Mus musculus: one gene and its partners. The protein of the gene in region 2 interacts with the protein of the main gene of each other region in a pairwise test. Links are inferred from orthologs where the notes say so. Each region holds a gene or a part of one and is shown on either strand. Other genes may lie near its edges. The genes, in order: Psmd4, Egfr and Olfm1.

The links.
Region 1: the proteins of Egfr (region 2) and Psmd4 interact in a protein complementation assay, tested with the Homo sapiens proteins (2 studies listed by BioGRID and IntAct). The link is inferred for Mus musculus from reciprocal best matches to the Homo sapiens genes EGFR and PSMD4.
Region 3: the proteins of Egfr (region 2) and Olfm1 interact in a protein complementation assay, tested with the Homo sapiens proteins (2 studies listed by BioGRID and IntAct). The link is inferred for Mus musculus from reciprocal best matches to the Homo sapiens genes EGFR and OLFM1.

Annotation. Positions count from the first base shown.
Region 1 is NC_000069.6:95,035,247-95,041,552, reverse strand, and holds part of Psmd4 (26S proteasome non-ATPase regulatory subunit 4), read left to right. Parts: intron 1-4,807; coding exon 4,808-4,948; exon of another isoform or gene 4,949-4,976; intron 4,977-5,628; coding exon 5,629-5,743; intron 5,744-6,228; coding exon 6,229-6,306. UniProt on the Homo sapiens protein: Component of the 26S proteasome, a multiprotein complex involved in the ATP-dependent degradation of ubiquitinated proteins.
Region 2 is NC_000077.6:16,868,818-16,875,123, forward strand, and holds part of Egfr (epidermal growth factor receptor isoform 1 precursor), read left to right. Parts: intron 1-401; coding exon 402-543; intron 544-2,158; coding exon 2,159-2,275; intron 2,276-2,765; coding exon 2,766-2,892; intron 2,893-2,984; coding exon 2,985-3,058; intron 3,059-4,028; coding exon 4,029-4,119; intron 4,120-6,142; coding exon 6,143-6,306. UniProt on the Homo sapiens protein: Receptor tyrosine kinase binding ligands of the EGF family and activating several signaling cascades to convert extracellular cues into appropriate cellular responses.
Region 3 is NC_000068.7:28,203,192-28,209,597, reverse strand, and holds the start of Olfm1 (noelin isoform a precursor), read right to left. Parts: upstream 3,910-6,406; 5' UTR 3,649-3,909; coding exon 3,499-3,648; intron 1,521-3,498; coding exon 1,371-1,520; intron 1-1,370. UniProt on the Homo sapiens protein: Contributes to the regulation of axonal growth in the embryonic and adult central nervous system by inhibiting interactions between RTN4R and LINGO1. Inhibits RTN4R-mediated axon growth cone collapse.

The DNA of each region.
Region 1 (6,306 bases), on a different chromosome or scaffold from region 2:
ATTTTAAGTCCAACCCAAATATTGCTCTTACAAGTTACTTGTTGGGGCCGGGCAGTAGTGGCACACACCTTTAATCCCAGCACTTGGGCAGCAGAGGCAGGTGGATCTCTTAGGGGTTGAGGCCAGCCTGGTCTATAGAGCAAGTTCTAGGACATGCAGAGAAGCCCTGTCTCAAAAGGTGGTAAAATAAAACAAAAACAACAACAAAATAGTTACTTGTTGAGGGTGGTGAGATGGTTGGGTGGGTAAGAGCACAGAGTTTGGTTCCAAGCACCCATGTTGTTTGCTGCTGCCTTCTTTTTTTTTTTTTTTTTTTTTGGTTTTTCGAGACAGGGTTTCTCTGTGTAGCCCTGGCTGTCCTGGAGCTCACTTTGTAGACCAGGCTGGCCTCGAACTCAGAAATCCGCCTGCCTCTGCCTCCCGAGCGCTGGGATTAAAGGTGTGCGCCACCACGCCCCTCGCTGCTGCCTTCTTGACAGGACCAGAAGATCAGTGCCTTTGATCTCTGTAGGTGCCCGCACACACACCTAAAAACAATAAATATAAATCTCGAAAGTTACTCATTATTCATCTGAAATTAAAATTTAACTTTTAAGTCCTATATTTTTGTTTTTTTTTTTTTTAATTTTTTTTTTTTTTTTTAGATTTATTTATTTATTATATGTAAATACACTGTAGCTGTCTTCAGACACACCAGAAGAGGGAGTCAGATCTTGTTACGGATGGTTGTGAGCCACCATGTGGTTGCTGGGATTTGAACTCTGGACCTTCGGAAGAGCAGTCGGGTGCTCTTACCCACTGAGCCATCTCACCAGCCCTATTTTTGTTTTCTAAGTTTGCTTTCACTTCTGGGATAGAGTATGTTAAAATAGAAGATGGATTTAGAATCCAAACAGTTCCCTGGCTCTCACTTACATTTTGCATATTGTTGGAGAATTGTAGTAACTTCTCTGTGTCTCATAGTACAAGCAGGTAAGCCATATGTGATGGTGCTCTGTAAAGTATAGAGCTCTGTAGCGGCATGGTGTTTGGGGAATCCTCAGAATTTAAGAGCTGTAAAAAGACATGTTGAGGAGAGGTCATTACAAAGTTGCTGAAGTAAGAGTCCCGTGTTTGGGAAATAGACCAGAGTGAACCTTAACATAGATTGTTGTAAGGTGGGAGGAGTCACTGTAGAAAGAAATGACTGAAGAGCTTGAACTCTGTTCTATACCCCAGTGAGAAGATTCTGAGGGTGATGGAGTCAGACCTTTGTACAGACTGACACTGATTTAAGAATATTGATCTGGCCAGATGTGGTACACACCTGTTGAGAACACTGGATGGTTGAGACAGAAGGATCATGAGTTCAAGGCCAACTTGGAATGCATATTGAGGTCCTGTTTAAAAAAAACAAAAAACAAAAAAAAGCCAGGCATGGTGGCACACACCTTTAATCCCAGCACTCGGGAGGCAGAGGCAGGTGGATTTCTGAGTTGAGGCCAGCCTGGTCTACAGAGTGAGTTCCAGGACAGCCAGGGCTATACAGAGAAACCCTGCCTCGAAAAAACCAAAAACAACAACAACAAAAAAGCAAAAAACAAAAAAATTAGATTTATACATAAAAGGAAAGAATAGAACCTGAGACCTTAGCCGTCAGTGTAATTGCCACAGAATGAGACCCTCTTGTTTTCTATGAGGTGTCTTGGATTTCCAGGCAACAGAGTTTTCTGTAGGGGTCTATTCTAAAATGCAAGTGTTTTGACTTTAGCTTTAATCTGCTGAGCCAGATTCTCTTGTTAGTTTTTAATGCATGGCATTACATTTGGCCAGTAGGTAGGGAGTTCTAGAACTCGAACTCCGTTGTATTGATTGTTATAAAGAGATGTTAGCTAGCGTCTGATGTGCTGGTCCACACCTGTAATCACAGCACTGAAGAGGTCCACTCAGGAAGATCAGCTCAGTGTCGTCTTCAGTTACAGAAAGCAGTCTCTTTTCTTTTTTGGTTTTTTGGTCTTTCTTTCTTTCTTTCTTTCTTTCTTTCTTTCTTTCTTTCTTTCTTTCTTTCGACAGGGTTTCTCCTGCCTCTGCCTCCCAAGTGCTGGGATTAAAGGCGTGCACCACCACACCCGGCTTAGAAAGCTGTTTCTAAGGGAGACTGAGTTTGAGGGAGAGGTTGGGAGGGGACAGAGTGACAGGATCTCAGTTTGTTGCCCCCAGATTCTGGATTCAAGAAATCCTCTTTTGACTTCCCAAGTAGCTGAGCCACAGGTATGCTCTGTTGCCTGTCCTGTGTTGATGGATTAATTGATTTTGCAATATTGAGGATCAAGCGCAGGGCCTTGTTCATGCTAGAAGCACCCCAGCACAGGACTTCATCCCAGCAGTATTCAGTGTTAAAATTATGATGTCATGGAAAGCTTGGGTAATACCTTAAGCTCAAAAGTTTATGATTTGGGGAATGAAAGAGCGAATCCCATGGTGCTGAGGGAAAGCAGTTCTAAGAAATGCAGGTAACATTACCCCATTCATACCAAGCTGGAAACAGGGAAAGCTGGCCAGTGTGGTGTTTTGTTTGAAACAGGATCTTGCTATGTAGCCCTGCCAGGAATTTCCTGTAATCCTCCTGCCTCTGGAATAGGAGGATTAACATTGACAATGTGGCTTTTTAAGGAACACATGCACCTGTGGTTTTTCTACCAGTAACCACTCTCCTTCCCAATGATGGCGAGGGCAACACAGCCTCAGTGCTCATTGTCAGTTCCCTTTCCCTCCTACCCCCCACCCCCTTCACCTTTCCTATTCTGACTGCTTTCCCCATCTTTATTTATTCGTTGTCCTTGTGTACAGTCCTTGCACTTAGTAGCTGTTCCATCCAAACTGTGCTTGAAGCCTCTGGTTTTATATATGGACCCGCAGCTTTATTTGAAGTTTGAGAGGCTGCCACACCTCTCCTGGAAGAGAAGTTGGATCTGTTTCAGGAAAGCGGAGCTTAGAGACATGGCCAGTGGATCAGCTGCATCTTCACATAGTTTGTTTACAGATGTGTGTTTGGGTCACCACTAAACTACTCTCCTGGAATGCTTCCTGTTTTGTTGTATGATCAAATCCAGGATATCATACATGTAATCTGTGTTCACCTTTGCTAAGTATTAGGTACTATGCTCAGTGCTTTATATGCATGTAATTCTCAAAGCAACTCCGTGTAGAGAATACAAGAAAAACTACACAGAATTTGGCAAGATAGCTCAGCTGCTAAAAGTGCTTGCCTTGTAAGTCTGATGACCTGTTCAGTTTCTGGAACCCTGGGAGGAGAGACCCAGTTCCCAAAAGCTGTCCTCTGACTTCTATATGCAAGTGGCAGCAGCATGTGCCCATATTTGTTCTGAGTTCCCAAGTGTAATAGAATAAAAAAGTGACCTTAGAGAAACATGCAATTTTCTTAGAATTAAAAAATTAACCAGGGGCTGGAAAGTGATGTTCAATGGCTGCTCTTACAGAGGGCACGGCTCTAATTCCCAGCATCTACGAGTTGTTTCAAATTGTCTGTAACTTCAGTCCCAGCGAATCCAACACCGGCTTCTGCCTTCCATAGGCAGTAGGTGAGCACATGGCACCATACATACAAGCAGACAGAACAGCCATACACACAAATGGATAGATTTAAAAGTAGGTGCAGACTCAGGAGGCAGAGGCAGGCGGATCTCGTGAGTTTGAGGCCAACCTGGTCTACAGAGTGAGTTCCAGGACAGCCAGGGCTACACAGAGAAAAACCCTGTCTCGGAAAAAAAAAAAAAAGTAGGTGCAGAATGAGAACCTGAGCTTGGACCTCTGATTGACACCCCACTCCTGATAATCCTGTTTCTGCTTTTTGAGTACATTACCCTTCCTTACCATTTTTTGATTCTATTTATTACTAGATAAAACTTTATAAGGTGGAAAGAAGTTACCTCTGAGCTAGATTTTCTTTGGAGTAGAATAAAGTATCTTGTTCTGGGCACTGCTCTCTTTCCTTAGCACAAGTAGTGCCACTGGCTGCAAGAACTCTCCTAGACCTCATGGGTCACCAAGAGTTGGTCTTGAACCAGGAATGTGGCTCAATGGTAGATGGTAGGTTGTGTGACCAAAAAAGGTGGGAAACCGAGAAGCTGGAGTTTATGTTTCATATTATGTAGAGTTTGGTTGGGGTTGGTTTTGTTGTTGTTGTTGTTTTCTTTGAGATAGGGTCTCACATAGCCCAGGCTGGCCTCAAACTTACAATGTATTTGAGGCTGTCCATGAATTCCAGATCCTCCTAGCTATATACACGGAGTTCCAGTATTACAGCTGTATGCTACCTCACCTGTTTAAGATGGAAAGAATTCCTGGCTGGAGAGATGGCTCAGCAGTTAGGAACACTGACTGCTTTTTCAGAGGTTCTGAGTTCAATTCCCAGCAACCACATGGTTCGCTCACAACCATCTGTAATGGGATCTGATGCCCTCTTCTGGTGTGTCTGAAGAGAGCAATAGTGTACTCACATATATAAAATAAATCTTTTTTTGTTTTGTTTTTTGGTTTTTTTTTTTTTTTTTTCGAGACAGTTTCTCTGTTTAGCCCTGGCTGTCCTGGAATTCATTCTGTAGACCAGGCTGGCCTTGGAACTCAGAAATCCATCTGTCTCTGCCTCCCAAGTGCTGGGATTAAAGGCATGTGCCACCACTGTGTTCCAAGAAGCCTGAGAGCCACCGCTGTACCACGTGTGTCTGGCAGGAGGTGTAGAAGGGGTCCTCCATTATAGAGGATGTTTCAGGGCATCCTCCAGTGTCCTTTTCTCCTTATCTGACAGTGTGGACAACAGTGAGTACATGCGGAACGGAGACTTCCTTCCCACCCGGCTGCAGGCCCAGCAGGATGCCGTCAACATTGTATGTCACTCAAAGACCCGAAGCAACCCTGAGAATAACGTGGGCCTGATCACACTGGCCAAGTACGTGGGACACAGTGGGGCTGTGAAGGTGGGTGGTGCTCCCATGTTGGGTTGCAGGTGACTGCCCTTTGGTTGATAGCACAGGCTATGCTCATCCAGTCCTGTGTTCCACCTCCTTCAGGAGTAGGACAGCTTGCTGCGCTGGGGGAGGGTGTCTTGATTTTGACTTGTTTTCCACACCGGGTTTTCATGTAGTCCTGGCTAACTTCAAACTTGATATGTACCTTTTTTTTTGCCTTGTTTTTTAAGACTTACTTTGTATTTTATGTATATAAATGTTTTGCCTACATGTATTATGTTTATGCACCATGGTCATGCATAATGCCCACAAAGGTCAGAAAAGGGGTTCACATCCCCTGGGACTGGAGTTAGAGCTGATTGTGAGTGCTGGGTGAGTGCTCTTAACCACTGAACCATGTCTTCAGAAAAAAAGATAAAAGTTGCTTTTAAGGTCTCTAAACAAAAGATGGCACACACCTTTAGTCTCAGCACTCGGGAGGCAGAGACAATTGGATTTCTGAGTTTGAGGCCAGCCTGGTCTACATAGTGAATTTCAGGACAGCCAGGGCTACACAGAGAAACCCTGTCTCTGAGGGAAAAAAGAAAGGAGAAGATGAATGGGCATGGTTAGGAGGCACTTGTGTGGTCTGAACTCACTAAAATTCTTTGCTCACATTTAGTGACTGTGAGGTGCTGACCACACTCACCCCGGACACTGGCCGTATCCTCTCCAAGCTCCACACTGTCCAACCCAAAGGCAAGATCACCTTCTGCACTGGCATCCGCGTGGCCCACGTGAGTCCTGTTGGCTCCCTGCTATGAGGGTCTGTGATCCTTTCTGTCCAGAGCTGTGATCTAGTGCTGAATAGAGCAAGACGAGAGGACCTGGACCAGTGCTTCTCAGCCTTCAATACAGTTCCTCGTGCTGTGATGACCCCAGCCGTAAAATTGTTTTGGTGCTACTCATAACTACGATTTTGCCTATTGTTATGAATGATAAGGTTAATTTCTAATATGCTACCCTGTGAAACGGTCATCCAACCCCTCCAAGGTGGGAGCCACTGATCTAGAGGGTGCTTACTCAGTATAGAAAGGATGGGGCAGGATGAGACTTGGTCTTACACTCTGGTCCACTTGAGGCACAACAGAAAGAGGAGGCATGTACCGAGTGAGCATTATGGTAGACTTGAGGTTCATAGGTACTGTAAGGAGCAGGAAATGCAGACTGACTCAGGGACATGTGCTGCTGGGATTCACGGGAACTTCTTTTCCCTTCCAAGTTGGCTCTGAAGCACCGGCAGGGCAAGAATCACAAGATGCGCATCATCGCCTTTGTCGGTAGCCCTGTGGAGGACAAC
Region 2 (6,306 bases):
AATCTTCTTGCTAAGATTTCTGCAGTTTGTCCATAAATTATAAAATATATTCTTATAGTGTTCTTTATGAAAGAAACCCAGTAAAAACTGAGTTTAAAAATAGTTACAGCATACTTTCCAATATCATGTGTAGATTTCATTATTACCTTTTTTTTAACCACAAACCCTAGGCTGTATCAATTGAGACAGTCAGTATACTTAAAAATGTATACTTAGTACTCATAAGAGGAAGGTGTTTCTGACTATCCTGGAAAGGCTTACTAGACATTTTTCCTCTCTAATTGAGCATGTAAAACACCGAAAACTGTCACTGTCCCACTGACCTGCAGGCTGCCTGGCACTGGGTTCCTTTCATTTGGATGCCACATCCTTGACCAGACATGTTGTCCCTCCTATGACAGGTCTGCCAAAAGTTCCAAGATGAGGCCACATGCAAAGACACCTGCCCACCACTCATGCTGTACAACCCCACCACCTATCAGATGGATGTCAACCCTGAAGGGAAGTACAGCTTTGGTGCCACCTGTGTGAAGAAGTGCCCCCGTGAGTTTGCCCTTTCACCCAACAGTCCTCATTTCCTCTTCTGTCTTATGCTAGAGTCCTGGGCAGTTTGGAGGCAGCCACTGTGCTTGCCTTGTTGTCCTGTAGGCTAGTGTCTGCCTGGACAGGTGCAAGGATGAGAACCCCACTCAGTGCTGAGCAATGGAGGCAGAGGCAGCCTGCAGCAGTCAGGATGCCTTCCTTTAAAGGGTGGCTTGACCTGCACTGATCCAGTGTTGCTGGCAGCCAGACTGTATAGTACAAACCACCTATCGCTTCACCCCAAGTCAGAGAGGAAGCTTCAGTAACCTGGAGTGTCTTGGAGCTGACTAACACAAGGTCGTGACCCTCTGGGACAACCTTTGTTTGACTCTGCATTGTTTGACTCTGCATTAAACAGACCTAAATTAGAAAAGGCAGCAGACCCACCCCCTTGAGGAGAAGAATTTAGGGCTATGGCTGGGCTCTTGGAGTATTTTGGTTTTGGGTTTGCTTTGATTTACTCATTTGGGTTCAAGTTTTATTCATGTATGATGGTACTCTATGGTACCTATAGGAAAATGGCAACATAGATCGGTCCCAAACAGAGAAAGTGAAACAACTCATAAAGAGCCTTAAAACCAATCTTGACTTCTAGAAAGTAAATTAAGACAAAAAAAAATGTAAAGTGGAAACTATAAGGGTGAGATTTTGCCTACCTAGATTTAGGTGATTGAAGTCCCATTAGAAAACACACACAGAGAGGGGAGGGGAGGAAGAGGGAGAGGGAGAGAGAGGGGGAGGGAGAGGGGGAGGGAGAGGGGGAGGAAGAGGGAGAGCTAGAGAATAAGGTAAATGGAAAACTAAGATGAAGAAAAACTCATGACAGTCATGCCATAGATAGAATCTTTGTGTGAAGGCTTAGTAACAGATCTTTAAACTCTGCAGGAAACAAAACCTATGATGACAAGAGCATATGACTCACAGATATAGTACCAATGCCCACATTTTGAGCATGTATTTCAGAAACTCAAAATAGGAGCATAGAGTTTCTAGTAATACTGTAATCATAAATATTAATTAGGTTAGACTACATAAAGGTGAAGGGAGTGGAGAGAAAGATTGGGGCGCCTGTCTAGGAAGCAGAACAAACTGGTCCCCTCGTTGTCCCACCAAGAACTGCATGGTGGATGGGTGGGGAAGGGCAAAGCTGGTATCAAACAGAAGAAACTGTAGTTACCTCAATGGGACATGGTCTGTCTGATAAGCATTAGTGTGTGTGTACTACATATCTTAGGTTTCCTTGTATATTCTAAGCATAGACCTGTCAGAGGAAATTCATATTCAGCAAGGGGCTTTCAGCCAGTGAACACGCATGGTGGTGTTTCCTCTCATAGCTGTTTTGCACCTGAGATCAAGTATCTGTGTTTGTCCACATTACTGTCAGAAAAGCCATTAGACTAGAGCTTGGTTCCTCTTCTACTTGAAATCTGTCAGTCTTTCTCCTCAAAGAGAAGTCAACCAAACTAAGAGGGACCTTTTTAGCAGCCCATACACAGCAGGACATGAGGATGTTTGTGGAAGGTTAGGAGCACCTGCTGTAGCCTTCAACACCTTCTTTTCATTGCCTCTTCCTCAGGAAACTACGTGGTGACAGATCATGGCTCATGTGTCCGAGCCTGTGGGCCTGACTACTACGAAGTGGAAGAAGATGGCATCCGCAAGTGTAAAAAATGTGATGGGCCCTGTCGCAAAGGTAAGCAGTAGGGTTTTTTTCTTGATCTTTGTGCCGAACTCTTATGGCCACCTCCAAATAAACCCACCTTTTAATCTTTTTTTAAAAAAATATATTTATTTTGTCTGGAAAGTAGAAGGTAAACTTGCAAAGCCAAATTGCATGGTGGAGGTGGGGGAGTTCTCTTGAACCAGGTACAGAGGCGCCACCTGCAGCCCAGGTGGGTGAACTGTTGTAGCCAGAGAGAGGCGGAGCCAATGTCTTTGTGAGTGACTAGATTCAGTACAGCCAGAACATTCAAATCTGACAGAGGTCTGTGACAAGGACAGCCCAAGTGCCACTCCAGTGACTGAAGGGAACAGCGAAGCCTGTCACAGGAGTCCTGGCACCTGGAGGGTCCCCTCAGGGTTGTTGGGATGAATCAATAGTGCACGGTAGCAGGGTTCTTGCTTCCGCTTGTGCAGACCCAGCCTTCTTAATTCACATTCTTAATTCACATCTCTCTTAACAGTTTGTAATGGCATAGGCATTGGTGAATTTAAAGACACACTCTCCATAAATGCTACAAACATCAAACACTTCAAATACTGCACTGCCATCAGCGGGGACCTTCACATCCTGCCAGTGGCCTTTAAGGGGTGAGTAACAGCTGAGCCATCTGGATGAAGAACTGTAGAATCTGCTTTAAGCCACGGAGAGTGTCCAATAATCACGTTGCTGTCTGTTTCAGGGATTCTTTCACGCGCACTCCTCCTCTAGACCCACGAGAACTAGAAATTCTAAAAACCGTAAAGGAAATAACAGGTTTGTACTCGGGTGTGCAGGAGCATATATGGGAAATTAAATTTTATAGCGACTCCCAGACATTTCCCTTTCTTCCCTGACATGAGAATGTGGTGTCTGCAGCTTATCCATTATGAGTAATTCTTCGAGACATTTTTAAAAACCAGTTTCCCTTGATGCAAATTGAAAGCACTTTAAGCCACGGCTGCTGCAATCATGCTGGACTTGATGTGGACACATGGAGCGGTTCTTTCCTGCTTAGACTGTCCATCGTCCTTACAGACCCCAAAACCCCCAGAGAGAAGATGGAGGAAAAGATACAAGGTTGACGCTAACAGGCAGTGCAGGCTCTCGAGTTTCACAAACTAGATTTCAAAAGATTGTCCACCAGGGAGTCTTGGGTCTATGACTGCCACCAGCATGCCATTTTCGTCATCTATGAAGGGGAGATAATTTGATCTGAAAAACAGGATTAATATGAGGATCAGAGTTAAATGGAAAAAAATATTTAAAAGGAGACCATGGTAACAAGAGACTGGAGAAGAGTCAGAAAAGGATCCAGGTGTATAATCTGATATTCCTTATGGATGTCAGAGCCAGAGCACTTGTCACCTGCTCAGGTGGGAGTTGGCCTACGCATTGAGGGAAGGGCAGCCAGGGACTCTAGGTTGCATAGAAAGGACAGGATTCTTTCATATATATATATATATATATATATATATATATATATATATATATATATATGAAATATATATATATATATATGAAATATATATATGTGTGTGTGTGTGTGTGTGTGTGTATGTATGTATGTATGATATATATATCACCTGGACCTGTGTGAGGACATGCACTATCATCCTTGGTGATAGGAACAGGAAGAATCCACTGCCACGGTCCATACAGCAGCCTTATCTGAGTCCTAGAACACGCTTCCTACAACAAGGAAATTTCTAACAGTGTGAGTCTAAGCCTTTCTTCTTCCCTCTAGGCTTTTTGCTGATTCAGGCTTGGCCTGATAACTGGACTGACCTCCATGCTTTCGAGAACCTAGAAATAATACGTGGCAGAACAAAGCAACAGTAAGTTGGCCATAACAAAAGCCTAGTAGAATTTTTTCCCCAAGATTGTCAAAAGAAACAGAAATAGGACAAAGACCGATCTTCTACTCGGCTTCCCCTAATGTGAGCAACTTATGTGAGTAGATATGAAAGTTAAGATAAATAATTTGACAAGGTGCCATGTTCTTCCCTGGACCATGTACTTCATTCTGAGTTTACCAGATTTTCCACGAATGCATCCATTCTTTTCTGTCCTCTCCAGGATCCCACACTGCATTAATGTCTGATGTCTTCCTAGTTCCCTTCAAACTTTCCCAGCTCCTATATCTTTGCTGATTTTTGTTGTCTTGACACTCTGGGAAAATATGACTGGGTGTTTTATAGGGCATCTCCTTGTTTGTGTTTGGTTAATATTTGATAATGAGGCAGTTGAAGACACATAACTTGTCACACCAGGGAGACAGAGAAGATGGGAGACAGGTGAAGAGCTTTCCTAGAGTAAGAGAAATCCTAAGATTTGTGGTGAGGAAAAGAAATCTGGAAATCTGTAGCTCAAATCTGTCTTGGAAACTTTCTAATTATGATAGCTTTTTCTGACATTTACCACCACTAACATCACTAATCCCACTAATATTGTGGAATATTTAACAAGTCAAAGCACATACACACAGAATATACATTGCTGCCCATAAACTCCTTTAAATAGGCACTTCTGATACTAAGCATGCCACTGCTTTTGCTTCCTGCCTTTCCTCTTAAATTCTCAGGAATGCTCTCGTTCTGAGGTTAGCACCGTGTTTCAAGCGACTGCACAAGAGACTTAGCCTTAATTTTAAGCATTTAAGCTATGGGATAACCACTAGTTCCTGACATGACTCACAGAAAGCTGGGACTTGACCTGCAGGAAAGACCCCAGCCAGACCCTGACTCCTTGGCTTTTCTGGACATACGCTGGGGGAGAATTCCCAGTAAGTGATGGTTGTGGATCTCCTACCCAGACCCCTCACTTCCCTGAAAACAGGCTGTGGGGAAAGATAATTCATGAAGGGGGAAATGAGAATAAGCATGACTAGGAAGAGGGTCTGCCAAATACTACTTTAAACTTTGATATTTAACCCCATAGCTTCCATTCTCTTCTTTTGTCCTGGCTCAGCTGGCTCATTCCTGAGGCTAGTGTCAAGAAGATGCCTACAAATGCACACCGCTTCTATGTGCATTTCCATCAGTCACATGTGACAAATTGTGCCTAGCAGGGGCATACATTTGAGCTCTGACCTCAACCATGATCCTGAGTCTGTCTCCCTGCCCTCGCCAAGTGCACACATCCTGCAGAGTCCTGTGATTTGGGACTCCATTCTCTCTTATCTGACTAAGTTTCATCCAGACACATATCTGCAGAATCTTATTTAATCAAATATGAGGTATCATGACTTGAACATCACCCTTCCATGCTCTTCCTCCATGGCTCTCCTTCAGTGTTCACCCATGGCTGACCCAGTCCTCACTAACGCTGCATTTATTTCTATGGACTCAAAAAAAACCTCTGCCGGTGTGATTATATCACCTTTAGACAGAGTCCCTAAGTAAAAGAGACAAATATTTAACCTGTGTGGTATTTGCAAATGGAACCACAGATATTCACTCAATAAACATGACTGGGCAGCTGAGTGGTAGGCAGATGGACAGATATTCATATTTACCTTAAGTACATTTTGATGTTGCCAGATGCTAGAAAGCATGTTCTTGATTTCTAGGAAAACTATAAATATAGCAAATGAAATGACATGAATCCTCTGATTAACTCCTCCTGTTTATCCAAGTTTAAAGATAAAAAGCAAATGAGAAACTGTCTTTTCTTTGAAGAAATCTATAAAAAAACCCTTGCATTTTTTAAAACGTTGTGATTCATACTTTTCGCAGAATGATTAGTAATAACTGGAACACAGGATTCAGGAAACATAAGTGGCCCAGAAAAACTGAATTTGAGGATGGCCCATTGCTTTCGCTATCACACAACAGTGCAATTTTCTTCTCTCCCATTTAGTGGTCAGTTTTCTTTGGCGGTCGTTGGCCTGAACATCACATCACTGGGGCTGCGTTCCCTCAAGGAGATCAGTGATGGGGATGTGATCATTTCTGGAAACCGAAATTTGTGCTACGCAAACACAATAAACTGGAAAAAACTCTTCGGGACACCCAATCAGAAAA
Region 3 (6,406 bases), on a different chromosome or scaffold from region 2:
CCAGCCCCGCCCCTTTGCTACAGTTCTGAATAATTAAAGGCTCAATTAGGCTCCTGTCTAGTTTGGTGTAAATAAATGTCCGCAGGATCTGTTAAATATATTTTACTTGAACTCTTTTCAAGCTATTTACTCTGGTGGCTAAAGGTGGCAAAACAGGCCAAGACACCAACACACGCTCCACCCCTTTGGGGGGGGGGCAGACTCACAGGTACCATGATGGAAATAAGGTCCCAGGTCGCTCCCACACAGGGACTGGCAACAACCTGAGAGTCATCTCAATGCCCAGGCGCTTCCTGCCTTAGCAGCTGAGTCTGCCCAAGGTATTGGAGCCCAGCTGTAGCCCAGCTACAGCTGGGAAGGCTGAGGCCTGGCAGGGATCAGGCTGGGCTCCAAAGCCATTCTGCCTTTGCAAAGATGATTTCTGTTCCCAGGGCTTCTCTTCAAGTTTACAGAGGATGCCTCGCCCCTGCAGATCTCACACAGGTGAGGGCTTGAAAAGTCCAAAGCCAATCAGTAGGGAAAGCCCAGCTTTCTGGGGTGTGTGTGTGTATGCGTGATACGTGATCCACTGTCTCTGAGTAGGAAGGGTTCATGCCTGGAGGCATCTTTTCTTGGGAGAGGGAGTTGGGCAGGGCGGAACAGCCCCTCATTTTCCCTTTTCCCCATGGTAGCACTCCAGGGACCTGTAATAGTGAAGTCAGCTGCAGAATCTGGGGTCCCTGGGGGCAGCCTATAGGTACTCTTGGCAAGAAACAGAATCCCAATAGGAAGATACTGGTTCAGTGATTAGAACCATCTCCCTTTCCAACCAGCTGTGTAGCCTGGGGACATCAAACTGAGGAGTGACCAGTGCCACCAGCTGTGCTCAGGTCTTGTGACAATGAAGTGAGACAAGACTCAGAATGTGTGCATAGAAACATCGCTGCCCTCTTGTTAGGAAGCAACCACTAGGAGCATCCATGCGGGCAGGGGGGACTTGGCAGGTGGGACGGAGACATCCCCACGGACAGCCTGTGTGCCATATATCAGGAACCCACCGTTTCCCTGGCAGCATTGTGGAGCCTTTGGACCAGACCCTGAGCATTGCTCAGAGGAGAGATGGCATGTGACGAAGGAGAGCCATGCTTCTGGCTTTCCCAACAAGCTCCTTCCTAGAGCCCTCAGAGCCCAGGAAGCAGGTGTACTCATCTCCCAACCAGGGCCACCCTTGTCCTCTCTCCATTCTCCTAGCCACTCGGTCATCTGCCCATTCATTCAGTCACAAATGTTTAGAGCGTGGGCCATGCCAGTGAAGGCCCAGCCAAGCCTCAGGCCGCCACACTGCACTCTGCATGTGCAAACTCACACATCAACCCCTTGCACGGACTCACCTTCTCCAGTAGCTGCCTCAGCTGTTTTGTGCGGGCATCCCGCGAACACATGGTCTGCTGGGGGGCGACCACTGTGCAGATACACCTGCCCTCACTGTCCTGGGCAGAGCTGTACACCTGCCAGCTCTCCTCGGGGTTGGTGGGCAACACCTGGAGAAGGGCAGGCAGGGAAGGGCACGAGGAGAGAAAGAGAGAATGTGAGGATGAGGGAGACCTGTACCCAGGTGCTGAGGTCTCAAAGAATTGGAGAGGAACAGTGCCTTAAAATGCATGTTCAACCCTGGGTGCTCAGAGTTTTGACCTCTAACCAAATTAATGCCGGGGGAGGTGGGAGGGGCCGCCGATGCACTAGGTTGGGTGAGGGGGCCATATAAGAAACCAGTAGCTAATGGCTTAGGGAATCAGATACCCTCTTCTTCCAGCAAGATGCTGACGAGCCTTGAGCTCCTGTTCCCTAACACTTGGAGACAAGCACAATTGTTATGAGTCCTGAGTCGGCACCTAAGAACTGAGAGCAGCAACCCTAGAGCTGTGTTGTCTCCCGAACAAAAGCAGCCTGGCTCAGATGTTGATTTCCAACTCCATGAAGCTCCCCCACGCACTAGCCATTTGGTGGATGTCAACAAATATATTGTGTAAGGGTCACCCTTAACCTCAATCCTGAGGGTTTGCCCAAAGACCACCAAGGACCCAGAACTGAGTGGCTGGATTCACCTTGCAGGCCTTCTATACCACCCATGACCCTGACCTTCAGATACACAGCAGGGGCAGAAGCCACCAAGGCTCCTGCATACACACCACCATGACCCCTGCCCTCCAGCCACTGCAGCCTACCCAGTCTCCAAGCCCTTCCCTGGCATCCTGCACTTCCCTGCTATTTTTAGATAAGGATGGGAAGAAGGCAGAGAAGCAGGTAGTGCTATACTTCATTTCATTCATCCAGCTTAGGACACAAGCATCCAAAATCCTTATCAGGGAAACTCATGGTGATATTTTTGTTTGGCTTTTTTTTTTTTTTTTTTTTTTTTGAGACAGAGTCTCATTACGCAGCTCTGAATGTCAGGGAACTCACTCTGTAGACCAGGCTGGCCTCAAACTCACAGAGACCCACCTGCCTCTGGGATTTAAGGAGTGGGACACCACTCCCAGTACCAGGGCACTAGGAAAACTCTTTTTAAAACAACAGGAGAGGCAGACCCTACAAGAGTGATAGATGGTGGTGGTGGTGGTGGTGGGTCACACCACCCAGCTCTTGGGATCAAACTGGAGGAGAATGGTCCCTCACCTGTCCTTTCCACTGAGAAGGTTATGCCAGGGTCCCTTTCCAGTGGCCCCTGACTTAAGGGTGGTCTCTGCTCAGCCTGCTCCATCTATCATGGAAGTCAGCCTTATCCAGACCCTCCACCCAACCCCCAGCCATAGCTCCCCATCCGCAGGCTGCCGATGACATGGAGATTCGATTTCCGTGTCAGAGGCCAGTAGAGAGGGGTGGGTGAAGACAGATCGGCAGCTGGGTCCCGCCCAGCTCCTCTCAACCTCCTCCAGAGTGCACGCTGAGATCTTCCAACCGAGATGAGACCGGAAGGGTCCCTTGGGATTTGGGGGGCTCAGGTGAGATCACAAGCTCTGGTCTTTTGCCTTGGGCCCCACTCTGCACTGGTCCAGTCCGTCTTTTACAAAGTAGGGCGAGCTGAGTCCTGGCTGGACCTAGCCCACAAAGGGTTTTAAGCAGCACCTCCACCCCTTACTTGCTGAGTGACCTTGGCTAAGTCCCCAAGTCCCTAGCTTCAGTTTCCTAAGCTTTGCAAAGAAAGATTTTCTAATATTAGTGAACGAGGACTCTGGACTTTGAACCCCTCCCACCATCACCAAAGCAGGTGTCCTCAAGCCCCTCCGGGGGACTGGGAGCAAAAAGCATCGCCCCGAAACGCCAGAGTGCGAGTGGCGGCCGCAGCTGAAGGCACTGCTTGGCTGCAGGGCAGAGGGTGGGCTCGTGACCCCGGCCCTTGTAACCCTCCCTCCCAGGGTGACCCCATCCTGTGCCGCACCGCCGGGCCAGCCCGGGGCTCGACCCGAGAGGAGGCAGGAGGGAGGAGGGGCCGCGAGGGCTCAAGGCGGGCGCACTTACGCCGGTGCTGCGGTCCAGCGTCCCGCCGCTGGCGGCCGAAAGCCGGGTGGTATTGAGGCCCACCAGCGAGGGCAGCGTCTGGGACATCCAGTTGGTGATCATGGCCATGGTGCTTAGCACGACCCCGATCTTCAGCAGCGGCACCGACATCGCGCCTCGAGTGGCCTCCTGCGCCCGCGCCGCGCCGGCGCCGGCTCCCGCGCCCCGGGCAGCCTCAGGCGGCGGGCACCACGGCGGGCAGGGGCGCCCGGCCGCGTCCCCGCGCCCCCTCTGCCCGCCGCCGCCCGCCGGTCTCTGCCTCCCTGTGCGCACTGGCCATCGCCGCGCCGCCCCGGCGCCGGGAGGTGACCAGGCGGCCCTGCCCGGCGCGCGCTGCCTGCCCGCGCTGCCCGCCGCTGCAGCGTCCCCGCGCGCTCCGCTCTCGAGAAGGGCCACCGGGTTCTGAGCGCGGCGCGGGCTGTGCGCGGGGGCCGCGGCCGGGGGGCGGGGACAAGGCCGGGCGGCGGCCGACGCAATCTGCCCAGGAAATGGGTGGATTTTTCCTCCGAGCTCCGGCTCCGCGACGCCCCCTGGCTGCAGGCAGCGAGGTCTGCAAACCGGTCGGCCGAAGAGTTAGGGTCACCCAGGAGGACGGATAAAACGCCGCCACAAATCGTAAAAAAAAAATATAAAACCTCAAGAATCTCGCATGGCACCCATCCACAGAACACCCCCTCGCCCAGCTCTCTCGGTCACCCTCACGGTTTTGTCTCGCCCAGGCCCGGCCTGCTTGTGGTCAAGGGTCTCCTCCCCTGCTGCTGGGCTTGCCTTCCCTGGTGGACTAAGTCCAGTCAGTTTGGGGTGTCTCCTGAGCCCCAGCAGGAAAGAGTAGCTTGGGTGGAGTCTCCAGTGTCAGCGCAGGAGTAAAGAGGTAGCTACAAAGTGAGAGACACTGCTGGGAACCTTGGACAACTACCTCAGAAGGAGGGGACAGTTGGAAGTCCTAGCGGGGGAACACCCTGGGCTTGTGGGAGCAGGTTTAAACAGAGAGGGACTGGAGGGGGGCGGTATGCCTGCTGTGCACAGTAGAGGATGAAGGAGAGAGAGTGTGCCAACCTACCGTCAGGAGCTGCTGGAAGCATAGGGCTCAGGAGGAACTAGAGGGGCCACACCCATGATTGTGGGGTATGGTACATGCACGGGGGGCGGGGAGGGGCGGGGTTAGAGTATCTGGCGTCTATGCTGTAGGCTTAGATGGACAGGGGTCCCTCGCAGGGACCCAGATCAGGGCCAGGCAAGCTTCAGCAGTATCTGTGCCAAGACTTGTAAGTCTCAGCAAAACAGAACAGCCGGCAAACACAACTTCATAGTGCTTTTGACTTTGAAGCAAGCCCTCTAAGCTGAGGAAAGCCAGTTTCTGCAGGCATTCCTCCAAGTTGTTCCAGTCCCGGGCAGGGAAAGCCAGCCTATTCGCAGCCCCCTACCCCTGCGCTCTTTCCCACCTGGTCAATTATAGACCAGGAAGAGATGTCAGAACAAAGGCAGGCCTCCTGGGGTCTGCCAAGAGGGATATGACATCTTCCGGGGGCTTGTCTCTCTGTGTTCAGTCCTCATTTGCAGAGAAAACGTCAACAGCCAAGATGACCCTGGCCCGAGTGCTGGGCGTGAGCCCTGCTGGCTCAAGAAGTCAATTGGAGTTGTTTCTCTGGTTAATGCATGGCATTCATTGGTGCCTCCAGTTTGGGTCAGATGCCAGCGAATTACAACTGTTAGGGAAGGGCGCCATCTCTCCGTGAAATCTGGTACTGCAGTCCAGTCACACCCAGTGGTCCTGCTGGATGCAGCAGCCGGAGATGCAAGGCTCTCTGCCCTACATCCTCTGCCAGGCATTTTCTGAACAGAATCAGGGCCGTGGCTGTGTCTACTCACTTGCTTCCTACTACACAAAGGTAAGGAGCGCTTAATGTTTATCAACAATTTCAAATCCAGCCCAGTACAGTCCTCAAAGTTCTCAAGGCGTCTCAGGAGTCATACCTTTTATTGAATTCCTACTTAGTGCAAGATACACAGTGCAACATGCTCTAAGCTCTGTGTCAGATGCAGCATAGAGACCATAACTGTCTTTGTTAGGCACACTCCATGGCCAAGCACCATTAAACCTTTCCTGCTCTCTAATGGGCAGAAGTCCCTCCCAGAGGTCAAGTGACCTTGGGGTCAAGGGGAGCTCTGCTATGAACTTGTATGAGACAGTGACCTAGCTAATGAGCTTTATTGAGACTCAGCTCTCTCATTTTTAAAATGGGCTTGACGATAGTAGCTTTCTCCTGTGATGTGTTAAGAGCGTAGGAATAAGACTGGCCTGCTCTGGTGACAGTCATTGTCACCTTTTCAAATGATAAATATGGGTTCAGCCAGCAACCTGTGCAAGGCAGGCTGCGGAGCTGGGCTTTGATATAAGGTGTGATGACCCTGAGCCCTCTGACACACCTCTGGAGCTGCTGTCAGTCAAATATCACAAGCAATGCAAGTATTTCCTCATAAGGAGAGAGGTGGGGATTTATAACCATATAGATATAGCCATATATCCATATAACTATAGTGGTTTCAAAGAGTTCCTGACTCTGTGTTAGGTGAGTGATTTCCACAGGATCCACAATTGCTGCCCTGAATTGGAGGAGTTTAACTTAGCTGGGCTTTTGAAAGGAAATGGAATTCAGAGTTTGAAACAGTGAAGCTTTGGTCTGGTCAAGTAGTCCCAGGAACAAGTAGGTAGCCTTTCGTACCACTGGCCAGGAACTGTCTCCCACCCTCACCTCAACAGGTCACTGTGGAATGACAAAGATTTGACCTCCAGCTCATACTTCTTCTAAGCCTATGTAGGGAGCCAGAGGTTCAAGGCTTCCCTAAGAAATGGATTAGAAGCACTCAA